Saccharomyces cerevisiae S288C: one gene and its partner. The gene in region 1 interacts genetically with each later gene. Each region holds a gene or a part of one and is shown on either strand. Other genes may lie near its edges.

Region 1 (3,758 bases):
TTATTATCAACCACTAAGCAAGAAGAGGAGAGCAGTAGTAACGGACTGGAGACACCCGAAATGTTGCAAGGATTAACAACATTCAACCTAGGAACATCCAACAAACAGAAGCTGGCCAAAGATCAAGTCGCATTGCCTTTTCTGGAGGCACAAAGCTTTGGACAAGGGGGTGCTATTGTTTATGAGTACGAAAAGGATGACGATTATGATGAAGAGGATCCATATGAGGATCCCTTTTAAAAAGTAGAAACTGATGGTAAATAGTGAGTGCTTCCAGATTATGTAAACTACGTATACTTCATACACATATCTAGATGCTAGATTGTTAGTCTGTTTTAGTCTTTTTTTTCCCTAGGAACTTTTCCTTTAGCTTTAGCAATTTGTATTTTAAGCCAGATTGCAACGTAATCTTATCGGCCTCTTCGACGGTGACCATTCTCTTCACCATCAAATTGTATAGCATACCGAATATGAGTCCCATGATTGTAGATGTTAGAATGATGACGTTATACGGCATACTAAAATCCGGTGTAGACAGGGATAACAATAGGGTAGAGGTTCTCATTTCATAAAGAGACGATGAGGACTCCAAAGATAGCACGGTGATTACAGCTGCATCGATTTCAAAACCATGGTTTGCATCTGGTGGATACTCGGCAAATTGCAGAAGAGCTTTATCGAATTGATAAGTCATTACAATGTCCGTATTAGCTGGAATTAACATCGTGAACTCCAAGTGGCCAGGTCTTTTTCTATCGGCCGCTTGTAAATAGTATTTATCTAAGATGATATCGTTTTCTTGCAATTGCGGAGAGGTAGTAGAAGTAATTTGAAGAGAGGATAGGTAAACTCTCATGAACCATGGCAATGATTCGAAATAAATCAACTTCACAGGGGTATCATTGTCGTTATGGAAAACAATACGCATTCCACCACGATCTTGTCCATTACCAGTCAGAGATCTGCTTACGTGAATTGGGACAGGAACTATGGGAGTAACTTTAGTAGTGTCCGTCGATTCTAAAATAAAGTCGTAGCCCGAACCACCCTCATTTTGATCGTTTGATAAGTCAAAGCAATTATCATGTGTGCTGAAAATAGTATCGTCAACTGACAAAAACGCAGTCCAGGTAGAACGGTCAACTTCTGCACAAATTCTTGTGGGCCTATTAGCAAACAGGTTGCCATTGTTTATTGGTCTGGCAAACAGCTGAGACAGCTTGAAGTGAGTCTGCGAAGGTTCCGGTAGAGGGAAGCATTGGTAAGAATCAAAGGGTTTATCCGTGTCACAACGCAATGTGTTCCCATCCAAAGGTTTGGGGATAGGTCTCTCACCTCTTGCCAAGGCGGAGGGAACGTGTGTTACCATTTCTATGCGTGCGTCCATCTCGTAGTGACAAAGAGCATCTTCATCTTCAGAACAAATAGTGGCAATATCCAAGGAAATACTATTCCATAGAGAGTCGAACAATTTATGACCATCCAAGAGAGATGTCAAACCGGATTTGCCCCTAGTAGGCAATAGTTTTATGAACGGCGTCAAGTTCTCGGTACAGATGGGTTCATTGGGCAACGATGCTCGCATCAGGTACAGTTTCTCGGTGCTATTGAAAAGAGGAGCTCCTATATCAGAAGCATATGACCGCCGGGGAAAGGTCGTCCTTGACTCGTCGATAAAATTTAAAGAAGAACAAAACAATCCGCTCAATGAATTGGACAGTTTTTTCCAATTATGGAACGCCTGTTCCTGATCCATGGCCTGCACTTGCGACCACAATTCCACACCTGAGGCACCTGCCTCTTTTCCAGCATGTGGCAACTGTCCCCACGACAGGGCATCCCAGAATCCTCTGGTAAATCTTAAATGAAACTGACGCGTGGCAGTAGATTCCAACAATGGTGGGATGGCCCGTGGGAAAGTCGTGTAGTGCTCATACGCATCATATGACATGGATGATACGGCCGGGTCAAACGGTTCCGATTGCAGTTGGAATGCAAATGAGAGTAGCAGATCATTGTTGGGCAGCGGCTTCAACACCAGTGCTTCGTCGTACGGATACCATAAACTGTCATTTATACCAATCTGCGACACCGTGTCTTCTGCGAACACACCCAGTAGTAGAGTGCCCAGCATGAAATAGGCCAGTGTGAGGATCATCGTCGTCTTGCCTATGCTTTGTTTGCTTTGAACACTTGTTTCCGCTCTCCTTTTACTTATTGGCTACTAAAACTACGTGTAAAAGATCGCCCAGCGCAAAAAGGTCCGGCGGTTTCAAATAATCTCGAACTATTCCTATAATATGCAAAATAGTAGGTAGGAACAAGTCGACTCTAGGCAGATAAGGAAGATGTCCGGTAAATGGAGACTAGTGCTGACCGGGATAGGCAATCCAGAGCCTCAGTACGCTGGTACCCGTCACAATGTAGGGCTATATATGCTGGAGCTGCTACGAAAGCGGCTTGGTCTGCAGGGGAGAACTTATTCCCCTGTGCCTAATACGGGCGGCAAAGTGCATTATATAGAAGACGAACATTGTACGATACTAAGATCGGATGGCCAGTACATGAATCTAAGTGGAGAACAGGTGTGCAAGGTCTGGGCCCGGTACGCCAAGTACCAAGCCCGACACGTAGTTATTCATGACGAGTTAAGTGTGGCGTGTGGAAAAGTGCAGCTCAGAGCCCCCAGCACCAGTATTAGAGGTCATAATGGGCTGCGAAGCCTGCTAAAATGCAGTGGAGGCCGTGTACCCTTTGCCAAATTGGCTATTGGAATCGGCAGAGAACCTGGGTCCCGTTCTAGAGACCCTGCGAGCGTGTCCCGGTGGGTTCTGGGAGCTCTAACTCCGCAGGAACTACAAACCTTGCTTACACAGAGTGAACCTGCTGCCTGGCGTGCTCTGACTCAGTACATTTCATAGCCCATCTTCAACAACAATACCGACTTACCATCCTATTTGCTTTGCCCTTTTTCTTTTCCACTGCACTTTGCATCGGAAGGCGTTATCGGTTTTGGGTTTAGTGCCTAAACGAGCAGCGAGAACACGACCACGGGCTATATAAATGGAAAGTTAGGACAGGGGCAAAGAATAAGAGCACAGAAGAAGAGAAAAGACGAAGAGCAGAAGCGGAAAACGTATACACGTCACATATCACACACACACAATGGGAAAGCTATTACAATTGGCATTGCATCCGGTCGAGATGAAGGCAGCTTTGAAGCTGAAGTTTTGCAGAACACCGCTATTCTCCATCTATGATCAGTCCACGTCTCCATATCTCTTGCACTGTTTCGAACTGTTGAACTTGACCTCCAGATCGTTTGCTGCTGTGATCAGAGAGCTGCATCCAGAATTGAGAAACTGTGTTACTCTCTTTTATTTGATTTTAAGGGCTTTGGATACCATCGAAGACGATATGTCCATCGAACACGATTTGAAAATTGACTTGTTGCGTCACTTCCACGAGAAATTGTTGTTAACTAAATGGAGTTTCGACGGAAATGCCCCCGATGTGAAGGACAGAGCCGTTTTGACAGATTTCGAATCGATTCTTATTGAATTCCACAAATTGAAACCAGAATATCAAGAAGTCATCAAGGAGATCACCGAGAAAATGGGTAATGGTATGGCCGACTACATCTTAGATGAAAATTACAACTTGAATGGGTTGCAAACCGTCCACGACTACGACGTGTACTGTCACTACGTAGCTGGTTTGGTCGGTGATGGTTTGACCCGTTTGATTGTCATTGCCAA
Region 2 (3,758 bases), on another chromosome or scaffold:
TTTAAATCCCTCGTTAACCAATAATTATTTAGTGGAAACTTTAGTGGAAATAGTTAGGTTAACTAAGAGTTTGGAAGCATGTCGTAAAATGCTCAAGAAGTTAATAGAAATTCATCCAGAAGCAGTAATAATATTAATTCGTGTTTATTTTGCGTGCGATTTAGAGATAGATGCAGTTGACCTGATCAACGAGCAACTAAATTCCCCCTCTTCGTTCTTAGCCGACGATTCAAAGACTAGCCATATCCAGCTAATCTTCAAATCCGAATTATTAAGTATTCAAAGTGAATTCTTACTGGATGTCAAGAGAGATTACAAGCTTGCTAAGGAAGTAGCCATGGAGGCTGTTAACTGTGCACCAAACGAATTTAAAACTTGGTATTTATTGACTAGAATATACATTAAACTAAACGATATGTCAAATGCCTTGCTATCGTTAAACGCCTGCCCCATGTCACAGGTTAAGGAAAAATACGTTCTTAGAAGAATTGCGCCTATTACTTCAGATGAAAATCTTCATCTGCCATTACCATTGGATGCCTCAATTGAGGAGATTTCGTCATTGAACCCCATGGATGTCCAGTTGGAGCAAAAGTCCGCAGATCCAAACCTAGTCAATCTCTCTGCGTCAAGTTTAAAGTCTACTTTCCAACTAGCCTATAAATTATTGACAGAAATTGTCCAAATAACAGGATGGGAGCAGCTGTTGAAATATAGATCAAAAATTTTCGTTATGGAAGACGAGTACCAAGGCTCCACTTCTTCCATTGATGAAGCAGAAGTTCGCGGTAATGATATATCCAAAATGAGATCAAAGAGGCTATGCGAAAGATGGTTGGATAATCTCTTCATGTTACTATACGAAGATTTGAAAACTTACACCGATTGGCAATCAGAGCAATTGTATTTTGATGCTCAAAACAGTAAATATCACAAATTAACTGTTGAATGGGAATTATTCGGCCTTTGTGCGAAAAGACTGGGACATCTTCCAGAAGCTGCGAAGGCTTTCCAAATTGGGCTTTCCCAAAGATTTTCTCCAGTATGCGCAAAGAATCTATTACAGTTTTACATTGACGAGCATAAGCGTATTAGGAGGGATTCAGTCTCAGCAAACTCCGAGTTAACCTCTTCTCAAATATTGTCAAGTATCAATGACATCGACAGCTCAATCATCGATCTAGTAGTCAAGATTTGTTGCTGGAATCATCGTTGGTACATCGAGTTCTCAATAATATTAATAGATGCTCTGAGTGTTGCAGTACAAGATATGGGCATTACTAAAGTACATAATGAAATTGCCTCTAGATTTTCTGACCCAGTAGCCCAATTGATTGACGATAACATTCTAAATTTTCTGAAGAATTTCACGAATGACACTTTCGATAATTAGAAAAAGATGAATACAATCAATAAAAAGGTGAAAGAAATCAATTAACAAGAAACGGGTTATGTATTTTATGTATGATATCCTGGCATTGTCATGTATAGGTCACCTTCTTGGGGAATTTCCCATTTTCAAGTTATTCTGCCTCTAATGCGATAACCGTAATCTTAAATTGTTTAATTTCTTTTTCACAATCTGAGCCACGCCCGAAAAAAAAACAATGTAATCCGCGTAAAGCGAAACTGAGTATAACCCAAAAATAGAATGTAAATTAATGAAAAGCCCATTTCTCCAAAAGATCAGCTTTACTCAAATATCTAATTAAGTAATTGACTGTGTACATTGTCCTTTATCTCATTTTGAATCACCTTTATTAATTTTTGGTTGTTATATAGGACGAACAAATTAGAACGAAATCATATCCAGAACGCAGATATGATCGTCAATATTAGTGCGAAGATGATCTTATCGATATGCTTTACGTTTCTGTCATTTTTTAAAGCCACTCATGCCATGGATTTGGATACTACTAGCAAAACGTCAATTTGTGATGCGACAGCGTTAATTCAAGGTGGTATGCTGGATTACTATGAGGGTACTAGATACGGTGGTACCGTTGGGATGTTTCAGTCACCATACTATTGGTGGCATGCAGGGGAAGCATTTGGTGGCATGTTGGAAAATTGGTTTCTTTGTGAGAATGATACATATCAAGAATTACTATACGATGCACTATTAGCGCAAACTGGTTCCAATTACGATTATATCCCGTCCAACCAAACGATGGTTGAGGGGAATGATGACCAAGGTATTTGGGGTATTACTGTTATGGGTGCTGTCGAGAGAAATTTTACAGACCCCGGTGACGGCAAGCCAGGTTGGTTGGCAATGGTACAAGCTGTTTTCAACACCATGTACTCAAGATGGGATTCAGAGCACTGTGGCGGTGGTCTGAGATGGCAAATTTTCACTTGGAATAGTGGTTATAATTATAAAAATACAGTTTCAAATGCATGTTTGTTCCAGATTGCGGCGAGGTTGGGCAGATATACTGGTAACACTACATATTTGGAGGTTGCTGAACAGGTTTTCGACTGGCTAGTGGATGTCGGGTATGTGGTTCTTAACGATACTGCAAATGTCTTTGATGGTGCTGAAATTGATACAAATTGCACTGATATTACAAAAATTGAATGGACTTATAATCACGGTATCGTGCTTGGTGGTCTTGCATACATGTATAATGCTACAAATGGAACAGGTGAATGGGAGACCAGTTTGACAAAAATTCTAAATGGTGCTAAATCTTATTTCTTCAAAGATAGTATTATGTACGAAAGCGCTTGTCAAGACTATGGCACCTGTAACACCGATCAAAGAACATTCAAAAGTATTTTTTCTCGTATGCTTGGTCTTACAAGTGTCATGGCTCCCTTTACTAGGGACACAATTGATGATTTGATAAAAACAAGTGCTGAGGCCGCTGCAAAATCATGTAATGGTGGTACAGATGGGCATACATGTGGTTTAAATTGGCAGAAACAAACCAATGATGGCTACTATGGATTAGGTGAGCAAATGAGTGCTCTAGAAGTTATTCAAAATCTTTTAATTCATGACAGGCCAGCTCCATATAAGGAAGATAATGGCGGTACGTCAAAAGGTGACGCGAATGCCGGTATGAACTCATCGACCACTAACGTGCTACAAAACAATTTAAACATTAAGAAAGGTGATCGCGCTGGTGCCGCTATCATCACAGCAGTCATACTGAGTGTGCTAACTGGTGGGGCTGTGTGGATGCTGTTTTAAATGTGTCAAACTAGGCTCAAAAAAATTTTATTGTATTCTAATATTTAGGCTATCCTTTTCTTTCAGTAAAAATGTTTATGTGCTACATACAAAACCCTTCATGATCAAAAACTGATTAAAATTTAGAGAGGAACAATTGTTTTTAAAAAAAATACTAAAAAACACTCACGATGGGGGTCGAACCCATAATCTTCTGATTAGAAGTCAGACGCGTTGCCATTACGCCACGCGAGCTAGTCATATGTTTCTTTCGTCTTTTTCATCTGATGACATTCTAGTGGAACATTTATGGTAAGATACCGATTCCATTTTAAGGATTTCTATACCCTCGAGGAGAACTTCTAGTACATACATAATTTTATAGCTTTGACCAACAATGGAATCCCAAAAATTATCAAATTTTTTATCAAATATTCAAATATATCAAATATTCTAATGTTTTATAAACGTTTTATGAATGACATATATGCGATAATTATATGGCTAAAGAAAATCAATGCAAGTTCCATCATGGTTGTGTAAAAGGAACGTTTCAGCTTGTATCTGAGAATTTTCTTTT

The links. A genetic interaction does not mean that the proteins touch.
Region 2: mutations in GPI16 (region 1) and DFG5 together harm fitness more than expected from each alone (negative genetic interaction), as found in Saccharomyces cerevisiae (2 studies listed by BioGRID).

The regions. Positions count from the first base shown.
Region 1 is NC_001140.6:481,680-485,437, forward strand, and holds GPI16 (GPI-anchor transamidase subunit GPI16), read right to left. Parts: upstream 2,159-3,758; coding exon 326-2,158; downstream 1-325. Other genes in the region: Elongator subunit IKI1, read left to right, coding at 1-240; PTH1 (aminoacyl-tRNA hydrolase), read left to right, coding at 2,349-2,921; ERG9 (bifunctional farnesyl-diphosphate farnesyltransferase/squalene synthase), read left to right, coding at 3,166-3,758. UniProt on the Saccharomyces cerevisiae protein: Component of the GPI transamidase complex. Involved in transfer of GPI to proteins.
Region 2 is NC_001145.3:744,531-748,288, forward strand, and holds DFG5 (putative mannan endo-1,6-alpha-mannosidase), read left to right. Parts: upstream 1-1,822; coding exon 1,823-3,199; downstream 3,200-3,758. Other genes in the region: BCH1 (exomer complex subunit), read left to right, coding at 1-1,393; RNT1 (ribonuclease III), read right to left, coding at 3,732-3,758. UniProt on the Saccharomyces cerevisiae protein: Required for normal synthesis of the cell wall.